Linked DNA regions of Tamandua tetradactyla. The protein of the gene in region 2 purifies or fractionates together with the protein of the main gene of each other region. This does not show direct contact. Links are inferred from orthologs where the notes say so. Each region holds a gene or a part of one and is shown on either strand. Other genes may lie near its edges.

What was found.
Region 1: the proteins of GIPC1 (region 2) and SH3BP4 purify together in Homo sapiens (affinity purification with mass spectrometry; 4 studies listed by BioGRID and IntAct, with this or other methods). This does not show direct contact. The link is inferred for Tamandua tetradactyla from reciprocal best matches to the Homo sapiens genes GIPC1 and SH3BP4.

The regions. Positions count from the first base shown.
Region 1 is NC_135329.1:212,017,022-212,027,928, forward strand, and holds the start of SH3BP4 (SH3 domain-binding protein 4), read left to right. Parts: upstream 1-6,468; 5' UTR 6,469-8,811; coding exon 8,812-8,962; intron 8,963-10,880; coding exon 10,881-10,907. UniProt on the Homo sapiens protein: May function in transferrin receptor internalization at the plasma membrane through a cargo-specific control of clathrin-mediated endocytosis.
Region 2 is NC_135337.1:88,469,314-88,480,754, reverse strand, and holds the start of GIPC1 (PDZ domain-containing protein GIPC1), read right to left. Parts: upstream 4,809-11,441; 5' UTR 4,519-4,808; intron 4,506-4,518; exon of another isoform or gene 4,216-4,505; intron 4,119-4,215; exon of another isoform or gene 3,995-4,118; intron 3,293-3,994; exon of another isoform or gene 3,203-3,292; intron 1,068-3,202; 5' UTR 1,013-1,067; intron 1-1,012. UniProt on the Homo sapiens protein: May be involved in G protein-linked signaling.

The DNA.
Region 1 (10,907 bases), on a different chromosome or scaffold from region 2:
CTGAGTGAAGGCAGGGTCAAGTCTAGTGAATCTCCAGGCTGGGACTTCCAGCCGAGGAAGCTACCTGTGCAAAGGCCCCGTGGCAGGGATGGGCTCAGTACTGAGGAAGCAGCAAGGAGACCAGGGTAGGAAAGTGGAAGGAGGAAGAGAACCTCAGGAAACGCCACCAAGGGGAAGCAGGGCATGTAAGGAGGGCCTTGGGAGCTCAGAACTTTTGAGTTTTGAACAAAGTCCTGATGGCATCTGACTTTTTAAAACGATCTGGCAGCTAACTGAGGGGTGGATGGCGGGAGGGTGAAGTTGGAGGCAGGCAGACCTGGGAGGAGCCGATGGCCGTAATTGAGTTGCGAGCTGATGGTAGAGTGGGGTGCCAGGAAGAGGTCGCATGGGGGACATGTCTGAAGGTTGAGCCGCTGGGAACGGGGGTTTGCCCGAGGAGGTTTTTCGGCTGGTTGTGTGAAGTCGCCATTTCCCAAATGCTGAAGACCAGGGGAGGGGGGTGCGTGGACCTGGGGGGTTGGGGGTGCCCATCGGGCACTAAGGTGGGCCGTGAGGGGTCTGAGCCTGCGGTCCAGAGGGGAGGTGGGCTCAGTCCTGAGCCTGGTCAAGAAGAGAAGAGATGGTGCAGCCCAGAGCTCTGGAGCATTCCAGCATTTAGAGGCTGGGAGATGAGGAGGGTGGATGAAGGCCAGGGAAGTAGGAGGGAGGCAGAGGGCAGCGGCGCCGGGGCCCGGGCAGCTGGGGGCTGCTGACAGGGGCTCAAGGACATGTAGAAGCTGGCTCATGCTCGGACCCCTGCCCGCTGTTTCCTGAGAACCGTGACTTGGCGTGGGTCCCTCCTGCCCTGGCTGAGCCTTCTGGATTCAGTCCTGGGCTGCAGCCCTGTGCTGGGGGGTGAGTGAGGCCGCTTCAGAGTGGGCTGTAGGTGTGTCTGCTGCACTCCCCGTCGTATGCTGAGCCCCGCGAACAAGGGCGCAGGCGGGCACAGGTGGGCACAGGCAGGCCCTTGATAAGTGCTTGTTGGGTGAATGATGGGACAAATGAATGAGCTAGTTAATGAAGTTCACTCATTCACTTAATGAAGTTCACCGGTGACAGCACAGAGCTCCTGGGGCTCAGACCTCATGATCCTGGCTCCTGACCTCTCCATGCCCCAATGTTCCCAGCTGTGGAAGGAGGTCCCCTGTCCTGGGAATGGTGAGCAGAGCGCTTGGACATAAGGTGCTCCGTCAGCGTTTGCGGGGACCCCTGAATTCATCCCCTCTAGGGCAGGATTCCTAGCAAGTTATCACTGCTTCGTTGTCTCATCTCCGTTACTTCAGAGCCGCAGTGGGCACCTCCTAGGGTCCGTCCCTGTTTTCTGTGCAAGGGTGTTGCATTCATCTGCAAGTGACATCTGCCTGTTAAAGAAGGGGCACCCACCCCTTCACCCCAGCCTCCCACCCCTAACTCGGGGGTGGAAGAAGGGACAGCTCAGTACTGGTTCTTCCAAAGGAGATTATTTTAGAGACCTGAAGTTTAAGGCTTGTTCTAACTTGATGACTTTGAAGTATTGCACAGTTCTGCTTCCCTCGAAACTGCCAACGAAACTCCCTGGTACTCTTTGCTCGTCTCTCGTGTCCCCACGACTGCGATCCGCCCCCCGGGAGGAAGGTGACTGCGTGGCCCAGGCAAGCGAGGGGCTCCCAGGCCTGGGTCTGAGTTTGTGGCTCCTTAAGGTTTTCTTGTTTCTTGGTAGGGAGGAGACTCGTGCACACGTGCTCACCCCTGCACACACACACACACACACACAGTGCTGACGCATATCCAGGGAGGCGGGTGACCAGCGTTCGTGCCCTAACCTTCCCTTCCTGTATTTTGCAGCATTTCATTGCGCACATTTTCTGGCGTATACGCAAGTAGGGGCAACAGTCCCGTGGACCTTTGTGACCCGGTTACAAGGCAGATTGGCGCTTCATGCCCTCTGACCCCAGCGCTCCTTGGCAGCAGAGCAAGGAGTGTGTAAAGGCGGGGACCTGAGCTCGGGCGGCCTGGATCCGAGGCCCCGGGGTCCTGGCTCCACAGACTGTCGCGGGTCACTCTCCAGGGAGGACCGTGATGCGTGGGAGGCGGGAGGGGAGACCTGGGCGTCCCGGAGGCGAGGGCCGTGGGGAAGGCAGGACGGCATGCGCTGCTTTGGGGGTCGTGGTGGGCAGTGGACCTGGAAAGATGAGTGAAAACCAAGACACGGAGGCCTGCGTGTGTCAGGCTGAGCGATTTGAACTTTGCTTGTTCAAAGTGGGGGGCAAGCCCCAGAGGTGTGAGGCTGAGGGGCTACGGGACCCCCAAGACTGCTGTGAGGAAACTCGGGGCCTGCGTGAGGAGTTGGTGGGAAGAGCCTGAGCGCCTCTGGGACTGTGCAAGGGGCGAAGGGCTGGGGGGAGGGGCGGGGGGGGTGAGAGGCGACGAGAGGGGGTGTCCACGCGGAGAGAGGGGGTCCGGGAAGCCCAGGTCTGGTCCGAGCTGGAGGGTGATTTGGAGGTCAGAGCTCAGAGGCCGCAAGGAGGTGAGGTACCTGGGGGAGCCATGAGAGGGGCTTTGAGACTGAGCCCAGGGGGCTCTTTTATAGGGAAGGGGCTTCTCTTGTAGGTGGGGAGGAAGGTACTCAGGGAGGAGGAGGAGGCGGAGGCACAGAGCTGGCCTCCCGGTGGGGTGGTGCGGGGGCAGCAGTGCCGGGTGCAGATGGCCTCTGTGCAGACGGTGGGGGGAGAAGTGCAGGACACAGCTTTGCCCTCACCCTGAGGGCACCAGGCAGGGGAGAGGCCAGGAGTGGGGCCTGGCCAACTTGGGCCTTGGGGCGGGCTGCCCTCTCCTCCTCTGCCTGCCCCCCCACCCCAGGCCACTGCCACCCTGGGCTCTTCGTCTCGCGGCAGCTCTGGGGACTTGCAGGAATCTGGGCCCTGAAAAGCTCATCTCCTGCCCATCACCCGGAAGAGACCCCGACTTTTCTTCCAGCTGCTTATCAGGGTGTCCTCCGGGTGCCCCACTTAGCAAAGCAAAGCTTGCTGTTGGCTCCTCCCCGGCCCCGGGTAAAACCAGCCCCATCTGGGCCCTCCACACCTCCAGACGTGGGGGCTGCCCAGGGCGTGAGGAGGCCCTCGGGTGGTCTCTCTGCTGCCAGCCCAACCCTGCTCCTCAGTGTCTCTCCTAAACCATGTCAGTGGTTTTCAAGGAAAATGGCAGCACACCTTCCAGTTTATCTTATCTGCAGCCAAAGTTATCCTTCCTGAGTGGAGACCTGCTGTGGCTTGCGGGGACCCCGGGGACTGCCCATCCCCGTCCTGGCCATGCTGTACCCTGTTTCTCCCTGGTACCCACTGAGTTTTTTGGGCCTCCGTGCGGGTTGTGCCCATGTGCTCTGTCTGCCAGGCTCTTCCTGGCAGTGGCACTCGCTGCCACGTCACCTGGGCAGCTCCCCAGCCTCTGCCAGGACTCAGGGTCCTCAGGAGCAGAACCACGGCCAGGCCTGTCCACCCCCTACCCTGGCTAGCACGGCCCAGGGCACAGCGCCACACCCGGGTCCCAGAACAGGGGGTGCCGTGAGGCTGTGCAGCCGTGTCCCCCTTGTGTGCCCCCTTTGGCTATTTTGTGGACTCCCCCCTTTAGCGACACATCAGCCAAAAGGCTTTCAGAGGAGGCACGAGGAAGGTCCCCTTTATCACGGAGCCCCTCCTCGCCAGGTCAGAGTGGGGTCTCCTTGAAGAATTCCTGGGGTGCTTCTTCCCGCGGCCACCTGGGCTGGGGCATGCCTGGGCCGCAGGGACTCCCAGATTGAGGAGTGTGTTGGTGGGGGCCTCTGCCCACGTGGGAGCCCGCCGGGTCCCCAGCCTCCCAGCTGGCAGCTTGGAATTGAGCTGTGGCCTTGTGACTCGATGTCCCCAAATGCTTCTGCTCCGTCAGCCTATAGGTCAGATTTAGAGCCCACCCGGCAAACAGACAGTGGGCTTGTCATGGATTGAATTGCTCCCCCTCCTCCCCAATAAAAACCCCAGTCCCGTGACTGTGATTCCGATTGGAAATAGCACCTGGGAAGATGTCACTAGCTAAGGTGAGGCCAGCTGGGTTAGGGTACGGCCTAATCCAGTGTGGCCCTTGTCCTTGCAAGGGGAAGTTGGGGCACAGTCAGGAGAAGGACCCCGGGGTGGGGGGAGAGCGCCCCGTGACGGAGCCCTGCGCCACGGGCAGGCCATCTCCAGACTGCTGCTGAGGTTGCAGCGGCTGCAGGTCTCCGGCTCCGGCCTCCGGCAGTGGGAGAGCCAGAGCCCTGGTGTTTCGGTGCTTTGTTATGACAGCCCTAGGATGCTTCGGGCTCAGAATTATCCAACCCCCAGTCCCCCAGCCACACACACAAACACTTTCCATGTTGATTCTCTCCAGTAAACTAAACTTAGTCTTTTGGGTCAAAAGGAGTTTTGTGCCATCTCTCTGTATTTCAGCGTATGTCCTTGTTCCTGCTGAAGGCTGTGGCCGCCGGGGCTGGCGTTGGTTCCGCCGGGGCAGTCTGTGCCCAGCAGGGCCCACCCACAGGGTCCCCTGGCCTGGGGGCTCCTGGTCCATGCAGAGCAGTTTCTGGAAAGTCTGGGTGGCTGCTGGACCTCTGCGGCCAGCCCTGCACACAGCTCTGTGCGGCCAGGGAGCTTCGGTCCCGGTGGGGTGGGGTAAGGGCCACCAAAGCCTCAGGCCGCACGAGGGCCCTGCCGGAGGGGGAGTGTGGGGTGGGGAGCAGAAGTGGGCAAACATGCCTGAACTCGGGGACGGAGATAGCTGGCACCCCTCCCAGCCTGGTGCCTGGGCCAGCCTCTGTGGAGGCGAGTGGCCCCCCAAAGTGCAGTGTTCCGCGGAGGAGGCGTGCGGGGTGCGGGGTTAGGGAAGGAAGGTCTCTACGCTGTAACTGCACAGGCGGGTGTCTCGGTTGTCTCAGAACAGCCCACGAGCTGCCTGGCGCTAAGTGACAGCAAGGTGTCAGCACCAGGGCTGGAGGCCACAGGGACCCGACCAACCCCTGAGCCCCCTGAGCCCCCCAAACTCTGCACAGGAGTCTTCCTCGCCTCTTCCACCCTCGTGGTGGCCCCAGACGTCCCAGGGCAGGTGGCAGTATCTCCCCATCCGCCCCCTTCTCCCTTGCCCAGAGTTCCCCTTAGGAGGAGAAGCCCATTGCCAGGAGTCCTGGGCTGGCGAGCAGGGGCGTGCAGGAGCACAGACCGACGGCTGTGGACCCGGTAGTTCTGGGGTGAACTCGCTGCCCTCAGGTGCGCCCGGCGCTGAGCGGTGGGGCCAGTGCAGCCTGCTTTGGAGGGGACAGCGTGTTCCTGTGGACCCGTGCGTGGCACCCACTGCCCTGTAGCCAGCCCTCCACGCGTCCTTTCCTGGCCACACCCCGCAGTGAAGGGTCTGCTTAAAGCCAGCCTCCTCGTTCATCTCCCAAACCCCTAAAATGCCCAAGGCCTATGCCCCCACCCCACCCCCAGGAGGGACTCCTATGCTTTGCCACAGCAGTGGTCTCCGCTGTCCTGGTGAGGTCACAGTGGTCAGCTAATGTGCCACAGTTTCATCTGCATAAGTTACACTGGACGTGCCTCACCTACTGAAATGGCCTCTTCTCTATTTTGTTTATTATTATTATTAAGTCCATAGTGAATGCATGGGCAGGGGGCATATCTGCTCTCCTGACCCTCAGAGCCCACCACTGAGGGCAGTGGACATGCCCTCTGCTAACCGACCCCTGGGGCCCTGGCCCGGCAGGGACCGTTCCTCCAGTGAGAACGGCTATTACCTGGGCCAAGGGAGGCTTTTTCTCTTTTCCTGAACCCTGGAGCCAGCAGTGGGGGTTGCACAGATCCCATTTTGTCCCTCTCTTTGACAGCAGTGAATGGGCCTGCCAGGTGCTGGGACCCATCTGACAAACCCCGCTGTGCCCCAGGAAGAGTGGACACAAGACGCCAGGATGCTGCTCGGGTTGTCTGTGCCAAGGGAGCCGATGAAATGGGCACAGAGGGTTGTGAGCAGACTTCTCCTTGCTCTGCTTTCTTGAGCCAGGAAGAATGGAATGGGTCTAGGTCTATCTTTATTGTAATATCTTCTGGAGAAAAGAATTCCCACTTCCCATCACATTTCTATTTAACGCATGTGTCACTTGCTCAAAGGAAATGCTTTCTCTCCCCCCTCCCCCCTTCAGGTGGAAGGACATTGCAGAGTGGACACCACAGGGAGCCTTGGTTGCTTGAGACAGAAACTGCTGCAATCGCTGGAATAACTGGAGGAAGAAACATGAGCCCTTAGCAGCTTGGTCTGGAAGAGGGGTCAGGATGGCAGCTCAGCGGATCCGAGCTGCCAACTCCAGTGGCCTCCCCCGGTGCAGGTCAGAGGGGACTCTGATTGACCTGAGCGAAGGGTTTTCAGAGACGAGCTTTAATGATGTCAAAGGTGAGCCGCTGGTGAACTGGACTTCGGCAGAGGGAAGAGATGGGGATTCACAAGCGCATTACGTCCCCAAAACTTGCCTGTATAAAGGCTGCCAGTTTAGCCTTCAGATAATTAAATTGTAGTTCTCCAACTTTGTCCCGTTATAAATTAAGCCCTGGAACAGTCTCCACTTGTTTTGTTTTTTGGGAGCGTCAGAAAGTTATGAATGTTCCCCAGGTATTGAAACCCCGTCTTCATAAGGAATATGTTTTTCTCTTTTCATCCGTTTTGGTAAAAGGGATGGAGTTTGGTGGTAGAAAAATCTACAGAAAAGGAGAGTGAAGTAAATACATCAAATCTTGAGAACTGTTAGAGGGAAAATGGAGAATAAACAGAGGTCTAAGGCAGAGGTCAGCAACTCTTTCTTGAAAGGGCCAGAGAATAAATATTTTAAGCTCTGTGAGCCGGTCTCTGTCACAGCGACTCAGCTCCACAGTAGTTCCGAGCATCTGTGGAAATGGGTGAACAAGTGTTCGTGCTGTGTCCCAGTAAAACCTTATTCACCAGACCAGGCGGCCGGGCATCGTGGGCCAAGCCCTCTTCTAGAAGGTGAGTCCGGGATTTAATCACCCAGAGGCTCTAGGCTTCTCCAAATGTCCCATAAAATCAACCTGTCATTGGGACACCGAGGAAGAGCCATGGCATCATTTTCTTCCAGAAAGTCTTACCTGGTCTCTCCAGGCCAGGCACAGCCTCTCCTGCATGCCTTAGTGTTTTGTCCTCAGCATCCTCAGCTTTCTCGTAGCACTTACCCACTGCCCTGCATAGAGCAGGCTGAGCTGGGGGTGCTTTATCTTCAACCTTGAGTCCTCAGCCCTGTCATAGCTTAAGCTCCAAGTAAATGTTTTTTGAGCTGAACTTCTGTCCCCCAGATAAGATTGTGGCCTTCCATACTGGTGTCCTAAAAATTACGCCCACTGTGTTTTTCTCTTTCTAACTGATTAGCTTCTCCCTTCCCACTTTCTCCTTAACTTCTTCCTCTTCCTGTCGTTTCCTTGTGCTTGCAGCCCTGAGCCTTCCTTTAAATGTTCTACAAAAGAAAATATCAGCAAGGGGACCCATGAGGGTTTATTAGTACGCTGGCTGCAGTTGTTTTGGTGATGCGTAATTGTTTTCTTTGTAGCCCAACGAATCGGGGTTAGAGCTGCAAAAATGTGGGCATAAATTGGCATAGTTAGGCCAGCACCTTGAAGCAGGGGAAGAGTGCTGAATTCTTTAAAATTAAAGCAATCTGGGGAAAATGCATTGGCTGTTATTTGTAAAAGGCAACTGCACTGGGGATGGAAAACAAACAAGACAGCCCTTGATGGTGAACAGGCACAGGTCGGCTGGTGGAGGAGGGTGTTGGGGAAATCTGGTCCTGGGTAGGTCAAGGGGCCAAGGAGCCAGAGACCTGGCGTCTGGCCCAGGAAGCCTCGTTCAAAGCTCGAATGGGGGAGAGCGCTTCGAGTTGGGAATTTATTCCAGCCAAAATAGCCTGCCCCCAGTTACTTTACTGCAAGCATTGCGTGCCTAAGAATATGGAAGGATGGGAAATGTTTAGTCAGTGCCCTGAACTTCCTGACACGCAAGGAGGATTTTTGGTGTTAAAATCAAGGTAGCTCCGAATGAGGGCAGCGCTCCTGGGAATTCATTAAGATGGAATTGAAGAGGGATTTTCTGGCATCTGATCAGACAGAAGCACTCCCTGGTGCCCCCGTGGCCATACTGGGAAGGGAGTGAATGTCCTCCGCCCTCCATGCCACGGTGCCCGGCGCTCCTGATAGAAGGAGCTCTGTTTCCCAGGAGAAACCTGCCCCTCGGATGAGCTATGTCACCTCCCCCGTTCTGGAGGAGAGTGCTTGGGGTTTTCACTAAAGCCATTTTTATTCTTCATTCTGATGGAACTAAAGTGATAATTGGCATCGAGACACTTTCTCAGGCTGTGTATAAAGCATGCTCAGTTGCTTTGGTTTCTTAATTTTAAAAATTTCACTGTAAGGGAATTGTTCTGGGAGAAACATAAGGAGAATATAGCCTTGAGTGATTCTAACAAGATTTTAATGGCCAGCCAGCTTTCTTTAATCTTCGTTTGGCTTTCGTTTTTATATGGCATTTTCAGAACTGTGTCAAGGAAGCAAAAGATGGTTTATCCCATTGGGACCAGTATTGGCCAACCCAGGAGGGAGAAGTGAGCGCTCATTGTCTGTTATTCCAGCCTGACTCGCCTCCTCTCTTCCCAACCTTTCGCTTTACACTGTTTCTTTTACTTTCTTGTTCGAATTTACTCCCGTCCCTTGAGTGCACAGTGACTTGTCTTTGTGTGATCGTATGGCAGGGGGATTGCAGCTTTGCCTTTGGCCGACACTTCGATCCAGTAGCCAGCCATGCACCTCCCTGGGTATTATTAGCAGCCAAGATGACCATTCACTCCAGGAGCACTTACTTGGGCGCCTACTGTGTTCCAGCCTTTGTTTCCCAGGTATACAGTAGTGAGCAAAACCAGTTCTACTGGAGCTTACATCCAGATGGAGCCCTCCCCTGAAAAATGTAAAGCACACAATGCATTTTTTGGTGCCAAGTGCTAAGGAGAAAAATAAACTTAGGAAGGGGGTTGGAGATGCCAAGTTTAATATACATTGGGTGACACCTTCTGTTGGGCTGAACATCACTAGCCAAGCACTTTACCGATGTAGTTTCACTTACTCCTCACCATGGATAGCCCTCGAGCAAAGACCTTTCTTTTTTCTTCATCATGTCCATGAGGAATCACGGACCCTGGAGGTCACTCAGCTTGTTTCTCTGCCACACCCCATGGAGGTGTGGCATGGAGGATCCCTGGAATTTTCACAGGAGGGTCATGGGTGATGACCTCTAAGGTCGTCAAGGCAAATAAATGGACACTGCCTACTTTGTTTCCTAAGGCTTTGTCGAAGAAATGCAGTTTAATCTTCATCATTTCCTTTCACAGGGAAGGGAACTCAGCAGGTATGTTTTTGGAGGGCCACTTTGATGGAATTGGATCCCAGCTGACTTAATCATAACTTATAAAGGTTATGATTTATATACCTTTACACCATACACTATAAAGTACACTATACACAAAAACCTATACACTATAAAGTATAAAAGTAGAGTTCATCTAGAAATACTGTCTTTCCTTTTCTCCTTTGGGCAGGCAGCTGGAAAAAGTTTTCTTTGGCTCAGTAGTTTGTTACAAGAAGCACAAAATATGAGCGAACTGAGAGACAGGACATAGTAGGTGTGAGGCCCTAGGAAGTAATGGCGCTTATTTCCATCAGGAAGAACTTGCTTCACCCTCTGAATATACTTTCCCATGCGTGGGAGGCAGAGAAAAGACTTAAGATATCTACTTGTATTCATTAGATTTCAAATGACACCGCTTGTTCAGTGACTTTATTTTTTTGCTGTTGGAATTGCTCTCTGCCCTGGTAACACACAGTTTCGTGCCAGATATCCGTGATTAACTTGGTTCGCTTTTTTTTTTTCATGGGCAGGCTCCGGGAATCTTTTCTTTTTTTTTAATTAGATAAGCCGTAGGCTTACAGAAAAATCATACAGCGAGGCCCACTTTTCAAGTGGTAGAATCTTTCAGATGACTTAAATAATTGTTCAAAATAATGCAAACTATGACCATAAATATAGCCTTTGATTTTCAAGGCCTGTGAGAAGATCTATTTCCACGTTTCTATTTTGAGTGATCAAAGTAGAGGTTGAAAGAGACTGACCTCAAAAAATCTTATTTCATCTCTATAAACGTTTTGGTGAGAAGTTTAAGAAACAGGCCTGGTTGTCAAGGGAGGCGCCCTAACCCTAACCCTAAGCCTTTATGTGGGTATTTCGGGTTGAAGGTGGAAAATGTGGAATCAGCTCACAAACATCACAGAGGGATTTCTTGAACCTCTGTTTCCAGAACATAACTACATGGCCCGCTGAATGCAGAAGGTCTCTGTGTTTTCTGAGTAAATCAGTCAGTTCTCTATCAACTTAGGAGGCCATCAACCCCGTAAGGAGTTAGCTAGATGACAAAAAGTTGGGTCCAGCTGAAGCGTTTTGAAGTACTGCACTGTGTTGTTTCCACTGGGGATGGTTTGGGGATTCTCTTCATGGCCTTTCCAGCCTGTCTTAGCTGGATGGGTCAGAAAGTGGTGGAGTGTGGTATACCAGTAGCTCCATCATCAATCAGCTCACTGGCCAGCAGATGACACGCCAGACTTCACACTGGGCTGTTCCTGTTGGAGAAGAACCAGTTAGGTGCCCAAGCTGTTGTCCTTGTCTTGGGTATTTGCTTCTTCAATCCCTTTTCCCCTGGTCTTGGAAGATGTTCTGTAGCCCAGCTGAGCCTGGTCTTACCGTCTGTTTCTCTGTGTTTTGCACAGTGCCTTCTCCCAGTGCCTTGCTTGTGG
Region 2 (11,441 bases):
TTTCTTAGAACATTTGCATCAATTCAGAAAAAGAAATAAAAAGACAACAGAAAAAAATTCATACATACCATACCCTTACCCCTCCCCTTCATCTATCACTAGCATTTCAATCTATTAAATTTATTTTAACATTTATTCCCCCTATTACTTATTTTTATTCCATATATTTTACTTGTCTGTTGATAAGGTAGATAAAAGGATCATCAGACACAAGGTTTTCATAATCACACAGTCACACTGTGAAAGCTATATCATTATACAATCATCTTCAAGAAACATGGCTACTGGAACACAGCTCTACATTTTCAGGCAGTTCCCTCCAGCCTCTCCATTACATCTTGACTAACAAGGTGGTATCTATTTAATGCATAAGAATAACCTCCAGGATAACCTCTCGACTCTGTTTGGAATCTCTCAGCCATTGACACTTTATTTTGTTTATTTTATTCTTCCCCCTTTTGGTCAAGAAGGTTTTCTCAATCCCTTGATGCTGAGTCTCAGCTCATTCTAGGATTTCTGTCTGACGTTGCCAGGAAGGTCCACACCCCTGGGAGTCATGTCCCACATAGAGAGGGGAAGGGCGGTGAGTTTGCTTGTCGTGTTGGCTGGAGAGAGAGGCCACATCTGAGCAACAAAAGAGGTTTTCTTGGGGGTGACGCTTAAGCCTAATTTTAAGTAGGCTTAGCCTATCCTTTGTGGGATTAAGTTTGCTCATATGAGCAAACCCCAAGATTGGGGGCTCAGCCTATTACTTTGGTTGTCCCCACAGCTTGTGAGAATATCAAGAATTCTCCACTTGGGGAAGTTGAATTTTCCCCCTTTCCCTGAGCAGGTATCTTAACCTCTCTGTTGTTCTCTCTCCTACCTCACAACTCACTGCCCCAGTTCAGGCCAGCTTCTGGGTCCTCACCTGCAAACTGGGACTAATGGTGGTGAGGATGCTTAATGAATTTGCCTTCCAGGCCCAGAAAGGCAGTGTGGCCTGGGTTTGAATCCCACCCCTGCCACTTACCAGTTGTGTGACTGTGGGCAAGTCAATTCACTTCACGAGGCCTCAGTTCCCTCATCTGAAAAAAGGCAGAATTCCCATCTCTTAGGGAGATTATGCATATAACTAACTTTCTGCTCTGACACACACTTTAGGAAGCTGTTATTATTACTGCTATTAATATTGTTTTCCCCTTCCCCATTCTGCCAAGGTACATCCCAGTCCTTTCAGCCTGATAAAGCCAACTCCACACCATCTCCTCCAGGCAGCCACCCTGGTTTGTCCCAGCCTGCTGGAACCACCCCTGTGGTCCAGAGACTTAAGCCAATGCACTTAATTACATGTTGTCCTGACAGAACGCTTGTCTTCCATGCTTGAGCCGTTATTTAACGCTGTCTCTATTTTAAAATGTAAACCAGATTGCACCACTCCCCTGCCTCCAACCTTTCAATGGTTCCCCATCTTACAGCGGAAAAACTCCAAATTCCTTCAACCATAGGCTGCTGTAGAACTCATCTCCTGCCCCAGGCATGCTGCGCCAAGCTCCATCCAGTCTCAGGGCTGTGCCCTCTGCCGGATTTTTGCTGAGCTGGTGCCTTTTTTGTCATTCAGGCCTCAGCTCCAGAGTCACCTCCCTTGAGATTTTTTCTTTCTCTTTTCTCTCTATCATATCACCCCTTTCTATTTTGCATTTATCACAATCTGCAGAAATCTTCTTTATTTATTTACTTGTTAACTTCTGTGTTGCCAGCTTCCCTCCACTGGAATGTCAGCTCCCAGAGAGCAGAGATTGATCGCTGTTGCACTCTTTATGCCAAGAACAGGGCCTGGGCACTTAGTAGATGCTCAGTAAATATTTTTGGAATGAATGAAATATTTGTGGAATGTCCTCGTTCTTACTGTCCTGAGACCCCTATCCTCAGAGCAGCCCCCGAACATGCCTGCTATGGGGTTGTTATATTGGCACTGCTCCTCAAATCTGATCATGAGGGCAGAGAAGACAAACTTCAACCCCCCAGCACAGAGCTACAAGCTGGAATTGCAGCATCCCCTCCCTTGCATCCCTGGGAAGGGTGTGAAACTTAGCAACCCCAGAGCCAAACAGAAGCGCAGTGGGGCAAGCAGGAAGTAGGAAAGAGGGTCCCTGGCAGCTCATACAAGGCTGGGGCAGAACACCACACCCAGGCTCCCCCTTCCAGCAGGGTAGCGCTTTGGCAAGAATGAGGGCAGGAGGCCTCTGATTCAGTCTTGAAAAACCGGCTCCTGGGTGTTTCCAGGGAGAACGCCTACTGCCTGGGCTAGACTCAGACTGCCTAGAGTGGCTGGGAAATCCAGAGGGCTTAGGACTCCAGGCCCCTGCCCCTGCCCCATATCATTCTTTTCTCAGGACCCAGGAGGTATTTGATTTTTGCCTTTCCAGTTCAGAGGAGAAGGAACATGGGAGCAGCTTCCTGTTTGAGCGACAGGTGTCTGGTGACTTCAGGGTTGGGGGGAAGGCAAAGCCCAGGAGGTGTGGCTCCGGGGTGTTAAGGTAGGGGCAAGGGTAAGCTGGTAGAGCAACTGGTCCAGTGCACCTGATCCACGGAGCTACTGGGCATGGAGTCCAGAGGTTCAGGACTCAGAGCCATGGGTTCGAGTCCCAGCTGAGTCACTTACTAGCTGTGTGACCTGGGGCAAGTCGCTCCACCTCTCTGTGTCTGCAGCCTCACCTCTAAAAGAAGTAACAGCAGTTCCCACGAGGTGTTTAGACTCAGTGATATGCATGCTAATTGCCTGACACGGAAGCACTCAAATCCTAGCCGGGGCCACCTTTTCATTACCATTATCTGGACCTGGTTCTCCCGGGGCCCCCCACAAGCCCTGGAGGGCTCGGACGCGGCCAGTTCCCGGTAGGTGTCCGGATAGGGGGCAGAAATATTAGACTCGCGCCCATCCCCGTGGGGATGGGGACTGTGCAAGGGGGGCAGGGGGAGCATCCGGAGACCCCTGCCCAGCGGCGGAGACGCCTTTGCCCACTGTCCCCAGCGGGAGGGGAGGCGCCCCCCTGGGAAGGGGCGGCGGGCATCCCCGTGTCCAAGCCGGACCTCCAGCCGCGTCCACCGGCTCGACCGCACCCCGCGCACAGCGGATCAGCCGGGACCCCGCGTGTCCGCGACCCCGCGTGTCCGCCCCGGGGTCCCCGAGCGTCCGCGTCCTGCCGCGGGGGACACTCACCTGGGCCGTCGCCTCTTGAGCGCGCCGGGCTCGGCCCTCCGCAAACTCCGGCCGGGGCCTCTCCCGCAGCAGCGGCCAGGAGGGGCGGGGCCGGCGCCCGCGCCTAGCCAATCAGCGCCTGCGGTCCGGCGCTCGCGGCCAATCCGCGCCTTCCCGCGGCGGGTGGGCCTGACCGCATTCCAGAGGGATCCCTCCGCCCCGCGTGGCTCTTCCCGATCCCCCTGCGGCGCGGCACAGTGGACTATTCCCCCCCAGCTAGGCCACGGCGGGCTGTACCACCGCAGGGCAGCGGAGGGGGTAACCGCGGCAGGGCGGCCAATCGCGGGAGGGAAGGAGGCGAGCGGCCAATGGGCAGCTGAGGCCCCTGGACCACGTGCTACTCGCCCAGTGTCCGCTGGAGTGTTCGGAGGGCTGGGGGTTAAGGGGCGGGCGTGGGTCTGGTGACCTAGGGTGAATTTCGGGAAGAAGATGCGAATTCCCAACGTCCGCAAAAGCGAGCCCTAGAGGAGGTCTGGGCGGGGAAGAGGGTGTTGAGGGCAGCCCCTAACCCGGTTACCGGCCCTGGCGCGGCCATCCTCGGGGTGAATCAAAAGATGCATTCATTCCAGACTGGCGGGCGGGGACGGGGGCGGGGGGAGCTGAGATGAATGGGAGGCGGGAGGGGGGAGCTGGCCTGAGTGTCTCGGCGTCCTAGGACTTCACAATGGACAAGACATTCATTCATTCGTTCATTCATTCAATCACTCATCAAATATCTACCATGCAGCTGCTCAGTGCTAGGCGCTGACCTACCTCTGCAGACACATCCCGGGATAGGCGGACTCAGCTCCTAACGGAAGGAACCAGCCTGTGCAAAGGCCCGGAGATGGGGCCTAGAGACAGCACACTTGAAGGATAAATGCAATATCCTAGAAGCCTGGAAGGCAACGTAAAGAGCTGCAACCGGATGGTCACGAGAGCGAGACAGCCTATTCGGTGTGGGCTCCCTTGGCCAAAATTGATCGAGCACCTACTTTGTGCAGAGAATCTAGCCAGCCCAAGCCACTGCCCTCTCAGGGAGGTAAACTTTGGAGGGCCTGCCTCCTCCATCTGATCGAGTTCCTTGAAGGCAGGGGCTGTTTCTCTTATCCCTTCTGGTCCCGAAGTTGGTGCGGAAAAGCGTCTCAGCAAACTGTGTAGTGTGCGCCAGGAGATAATCTCATCCTCTCCAGGTTTGTTTTGTTACCGGGATTTACCAAGCAGGAACAGATCCGAGAAATAAAGACACACACAAACACACACACACACACACACACACACACACACACACACAGCACCTGGCACTTCGGGACGCTCGGTTCCCAGGTCAGGTGAAAATTCCTGGTTTTAGTTCAAAGCTGCCTCTTCGGGCAGCTGGAGCTGGAGCAGGGGTTCGCGGCCATTCTGGAAATTGTAGTCTGTGGCTGCAGCGAGCCTGCTGGCGCCTCGCGGAATGACTGAGTCTGTGCGACCAGTGTGCCCGCCGCGCAGGCTTGCAGTGGGGCAAATTGAAAGGAGAGAGCCGGCCCAGGCTCAGCGGCTGCGGGCTGCCCCGCTGGCCCCACCCGGCTGGCACACGCGGCGACTGTCCAGGCAACGCGGCGCAGCTATTGTCCCTCCCTTCCTGCTCGGCTGACCTCTGCCACCCCCGCTGAGGCTGGGCCAGTGCTGTCAGTGGGAATGTGCCTAGGGCCCTGCTCGAGGCTGGCATCTGAACTGCCTCCTGCGCACACTTGGAGAGGGCGGGAGGATGTCAAAGGGGTTCCTTTTTTTTAATGAACAAAAATCTGCCAAATTTATTGAAGAGCAAGTGAGAAGAGATCTTGAAGGAAAAGAACAGGAGGCCCCCATTTTAATAGAATTAAGTACAGAAATTGAGGGAAATGTTATACTTCTTTTAAAAACTAGTTTTGGGTGACCCACCGTGGCTCAGCAGGCAGAGTTCTTGCCTGCCATGCCGGAGACCTGGGTTGGATCCCCGGTGCCTGCCCGTGCAAAAACAAAAACAAAAAAAAACAAAAACAAAAACAAAAACTAGTTTTATTGAGAAATCTTCACACACATTGAGGCCATACATGGTGTACAACCAGTGGCTCACAATATCATCCCATTGTTGTGTATTCATCACCATGATCATTTTTAGAACATTTTGTATCACTCCAGAAAAATAAATAAAAAGAAAAAACTCATGCAGCCTCTATCCCTTACCCCTCCCTCTCATTGACCACTAGTATTTCAATCTACCCAATTTATTTGACCCCTTATATGCCCCATTATTTATTTATTTTTATCCATATTTTTTTACTCATCTGTCCAGACCCTGGATGAAAGGGGCATCAGATACAAGGTTTCACAATCACACAGTCACAGTGTAAAAGCTATATCATTATGCAATCGTCTTCAAGCATCAAAGCTACTGGAACACAGCTCTACAGGTGAAACTAGATCTAAACTGATGAGCGAGCTCTCACCAGAATTTTTTTTAACCTTTTTTTATTGTGAAATATAAAATATATACAAAAAAGTGATAAATTTTGTGCTGGTTTGAAAGGAAGTATGCCCCCTAAGAAAAGCCATGTTTTAATATAAGTCCCATTTCATAAAGGTAGAATCGTCCCTATTCAATACTGTATATTTGAAACTGTAATGAGATCATCTCCCTGGTTGATATGGTTTAGTCAAGAGTGGTTGTTAAACTGGATTAAGGGACGACATGTCTCCACCCATTTGGGTGGGTATTGATTGGTTTACTGGAGTCCTATAAAAGAGGAAACATTTTGGAGAAAGGGATTCAGAGAGATTCAGAGAGAGCAACACTACAAAGCAGAGAGTCCACCAGTCAGCGGCCTTTGAAGATGAAGAAGGAAGATGCCTCCCGGGGAGCTTCATGAAATAGGAAGCCAGGAGAGAAAGCTAGCAGATGATGCCGTGTTCACCATATGCCCTTCCAGCTAGAGAGAAGCCCTGACTGTGATCGCCATGTGCCTTCTCACTTGAGAGAGAAACCCTAAACTTCATCGGCCTTCTTGAACCAAGGTATCTTTCCCTAGATGCCTTTGATTGGACATTTCTTTAGACTTATTTTAATTGGGACATTTTCTTGGCCTTAGAACTGTAAACTAGCAACTCATTAAATTCCCCTTTTAAAAAGCCATTCTGTTTCTGGTATATTGCATTCCAGCAGCTAGCAAACTAGAACAGATTTCAAAGAACATTTTAATTGTTATAGAACAGATTTCAAAGTATGGTATGGGTTATAGTTCCACAATTTCAGGTATTTCCTTCTGGCTGTTCCAAGACACTGGAGACTAAAAGAAATATCAATATAATGATTCAGCAGTCATACTCATTCATTAAATATCTTATCTGTTACAGCTCCTCCTTCTCCTTTGATCCTTCTCCCAATATAATTTAGGGGTATTTGGGCAATGACCATTCTAAGGTCTTCATGTTGAAAAGGGGTGTCAACAATACGGGGCAGGGAGATACACTGGCTGATGTTTTTGGAGAGACTAGTACCTCTGGTTTCAGGGTTTATCTGGCTTATGGACTATCCATAGGTTTTAGGTTTCTGAAAAACTAACTTAGTGACGGAAACTTTATAGAGTCTCAGATAGAACCCAGGGTGTTCTTTAGGGTTTTCAGGAATACTGTTGGTTGGGGTTTGGCAAACTATGGCCATTAGCAATATCTAGCTGAAGCTTACATAAGAGCAGCCTCCAGAATAGCTCCTTGACTCTATTTGAAATCTCTTAGCCAGGGATACCTTATTTTGTTACGTATCTTTTCCTCCTTTTGGTCAGGTAGGCATTGTCGGTCTCACAGGGCCTGAGCCAGGCGCATCCCTGGGAGGCATGTCCTACATTGTCAGGGAGACTTTCATCCCAGGATGTCATGTCTCACGTAGGGCGAGGATGATTTTCCTTGCAGAGCTGGGCTCAGAGAGAGAGAGGTCACATCTGAGCAACAAAAGAGGTTTTCTGGAAGTAACTCTTAGGAGTAATTATAGGCAGCCTTAGCTTCTCCACTACAGAAATGTTTCATAAGGTCAAGCTTCAAGATCAAGAGCTTGAAGAAATAATAGAAGCCTCAGAGCCAACAGAGAGCAGATGTAGACACTTGGAGAACAGCTGCTTCAGGAAACAGAGACACGTATGTTTTGGAGATGCTTGGAGCCCAGCGGATGTCGCCATGAGATGCTAAGCTAGCCAGAACCTGGAGAGAGCAAGGGAAGCTAAGAGATGAAAGCCAGCCCTGGAGAAGCACAGTGACGAACCCCCACAGGCATAGAGGCTGAAGGCAACAGAGCTCAGGAGCAAGGGACCAACAGACGCCAGGCACGTGACTTCACAGCTGACAGAGGTGGTCCTGACCCATCAGCCTTTCTTGAGTGAAGGTGAAGGAAGCAAGCAAACAAACAAGCTCTTACATCATCATATAATCTCCTGGAATCTATTAGTCATGACATCAGCTTGGAAGTTTCTGTATTAAAGTCAGACTTTTGGAACTCCAGCATCTTCTCTTAAAGTTATTTTCTTTGCCAAAGGCTTCACAACTGTATTTTGCAAACCAACTGTAAAAGGATATTTTGAGACAATTGTGAAAATGTAGCTATGAACTAGTTATTAGAAGTCATCAAATATTGATTCATTATTAATTCTGTTGAGTGTGATAATGGTCTCACGAATACGAAATCAATACAAATATGAAAATATCTATATCTCTTTTAGAGAAGTTAGTGAAAGCTATGGTGGAATAATGGTAAGTGATAAGAGATAAGAAGCTGGAGCAGGAGGTAAGAGAGATAGGAAAGGCCACATATGCCATCCTTTGATTTTACGCAGGTGGCATCAAACAATAGTGGGGTAACATGGTTGATTTGCATACAGGGGGGATGAGAAAGTACGTTTGTGACTGGGAGTTGGGAAGCTGGAGGAATTTTCAAGTTCTTCCCTTTCCTCATCCCCCATAGCCAAATCTACCAGCAAACCCTGTTTGCTCTCTTAGCTATATCACCTCTCCATTCAAAGCTACCATCATTTCTTACCTGGATTCAATAGTTTCCTAATTATCAACTAACTACTCTCTCTCTGCTTCTGTTCTTTTTCTCTATAATTCATATCCACAGAGCTGCTTAAAATATGCACTGATTTTCAACTGCATTTAAAATAAAATATAAACGTTACCATATCAGTGGCAGAATTCTCACCTGCCATGCCGGAGACCCGGGTTCAGTTCCCAGTGCCTGCCCATGCAACAAACACACAAACAAAACAAAGCAAAAAAACAAAAAAACCTTACCATAGATCATGAGTTCCAATGTGATCTGACCTTTACTTCCTGGCCATCTTCTTTTTGTGCCACTTTCCTCCTACTCATCAGTTCAACTACACAAGCTACTCCACAGTTCCCTTTTATTCACTTACAGTCAGTTCATTTTTCAGGAAAAGTTATCTATTAATAGTTTTGAATTGGTAACTGTTGTAACGTTTTAATCAAACTAGAGCAAATTGCACTTAACTGCAATTTTTCACATAAAAAGAATGAAGAACAATGAAGTGAGAAAACAAAACAAACAAACAGAAAGATCAAGGGCTTGGCCTATTAGCTTGGGAGTCCGTAATGTTTGAGAGGGTGTCAGGGATTTCCCAAGGCACCTACCTGATCAAGAGGCATGCCTGGAAAAAAAAACAGGCATGCCTGGGCTGTGGAGGGGGCTGGGCAATGGGAAGTGCATAATTAATGGGTTCAGAGTTTCTTTCTGGGGTGATGGAAGAGTTTTGGCGATGGATGATGGTGATGGTGGTACAACATTGTGAATGTAATTAGTCCCACTGAATTGTATCCTTGAAAGTGGTTAAAATAGGACATTTTATGTCATATATATGTTACCGCAAAAAAAATTGTTTTGAAAATTACTTCCACAGCTCACAGAGTTCTCGTGAGCAGTGCTGGCCATGCTGCTTTCTAGAGAGTGCCGTAATAAAGGACCTCAAACTTGGCGGGTGGTGGGGGTGCGGGGTGGGGATGCTTAAAACTACAGCCACTTATTTTCTCACTACTCCGGAGACCAAAGTTTCAAATCCAGGGGCCAGCAGGGGCGTGCTCTTTCCAAAACCCTGTAGGGGAGAATCCTTCCCAGCCTCTCCCAGCTTCTGGTGCTTGCCAGCTACCCTTGGCTTGTAGATGCGTTGCTCCAAGCATTGCCTTGTCTCACACGGCTGTATTCTCTGTATTTCTGCGTCGCTTCTCCCCTTCGTATTGGGCTAAGGGCCCACCCTGCTCCAGTCTGCCCTCGTTTTAATGTAATCACTTCCATCTGCAATGACCCTATTTGCTAATGAGGCCACATTCAAGGGTACTGGGGAGTTGGGGCTTGAAAATATCTTTTTAGGGGATACAATTCAACCCACGACACCTGGCTTTCTCCCACACCCCTGCCTCTTATCTGTCAGCAAATCCTCCCAATTCTATTTCCAAAACACGTCTTGGACTGTTTCCTACCTCTTCCGTGCCCCCTCTGGGACGGAACTTATCCTCGCCCACCCGGATCAGTAGTCTCATCTCAGGACTCTCACCTTAGCTCCGGCCAGTTGGGCCCCCACAGTGGCCAGAGGGCCTTGGAGCCCCTTCCTCTCCCAAGGACCCTCCCGTGTTTCCCTTTGAGCCTGGCCATGCCCATACTGAGTTGGAGTGACATGGCTACATGGGTTCCCATGGTGACAAGCCATCCAGGGCTCAGCTCTGACTTCTGGGTGAAAGCAAATCACGCTGTTGCCCTCCCTGGAACCAGCTTCTCCTCTGCCCTGAGCACTCGGCCTGTCCCAGTGGGGCCCAGATGCTCTGGCTTGGCTTATCTCCAGCCACGCCCGGCCCTGCCCTCCCTGGTCCGGCCCCATCAGCCCTCGAGGCCCTGACGTGGTCCCCATCCGGGGGGCCCGCCAGCCCCTCCCTCCAAGCTCCCTGCCTTGCCCAGGTGCCGGATTGAATGGTTGCCCCCAACCCGATGCCCCCCAACAAAACAACAACAACAACAACAGTCTACCCGGAACCTCTCACTGTGACTGTGACCTCATTTGGGAAGAGTCTTTGCAGATGTAATTAAGCTAAGGCTCTTAAATACATTCGAGCCCTAAATTCAATGGCAGGGATCCTTATAGGAGAGAAGATGACATGGAGACACATGGAAGGGAAGGCTGTGTGGGGGCAGATGGAGAGAGTGGAACCCTGAGGGCAGACGGCAGGGACCAGCGGCCAGGAGAGGGGCATGGAACAGATTTCCGGCTGAAGGCCCCCCAGAGCCAGCACCATCTGCCCCACAGCCGGCCACCTCCTACCACTGTGCCCCCAAGAGCTTCCGGGAGGTACCGACCGACGCTGCCCACACCTTGACTTTGGAAGTCTTGCCTCCTGAACTGGGAGAGAAAACATTCCTGTTGTTTGAAGCCGTCCAGTTTGGGGTCATTTGTTTTGGGAGCCCCAGGGAGCTCAGACCCCCGAGTCGGTGTTTCTAGGGAGATTGGGAGTTGAGGAAATGCCCTGGGCTGGTCAACTGTGCCCGGTGACTAAATGCATGGATTGTGAGGTAGGAACAGCTCCCACCCCCTTCCCCAGGAGAGGGGGCTTCTCCTGCAGCCAGGCTGGGCATCCACTTCTCCCTGGTGGGTACTGGGGTCCTGGGTGGGGGAGGAGGCCCCCAGAAAATGCCGGGGGTCAGTGGTCCTCCCTCTGCACAGTTAAGTGACCACAAGACAAATGTTGCAGGTCCTCTTGTTTTAATTACTTGGTCACTTAATTCATTCATTCATTCGTTCGCTCTTGCAGCCATTCACTCATTGAACTTTCAGAGGGCCAGCTCTGGGCCAAGCACTGTGCTGGGTACTGGTGATGCACAGGTTATAAGGACATAGTTGGTGACTGCAAGGAAATTTGGGGTTGTGCTGAAGGGGAGCTTTTGGAGTGTTCCCTTGGGTTGTCTCTCCTACCCCACCCCTACCCCCAAAGAGGAGATTGTTTGAATAATTATAGACACAGAGGAAATCGTTGGCCCTTGGGCAGTCGTAGAGGCAGCAGATCATATAAGCGTTCTTTGGGCCATGGAAGGGAAAATGAGTGGCTTTAAAGCTCAGGTTTTAATAGAAAATACTCATTATGTGTCTTCTGCTATTTCAAGATGGAAGTTCAGGGCCTTCATATTTCACAAAAAGAGACTGATGAAATA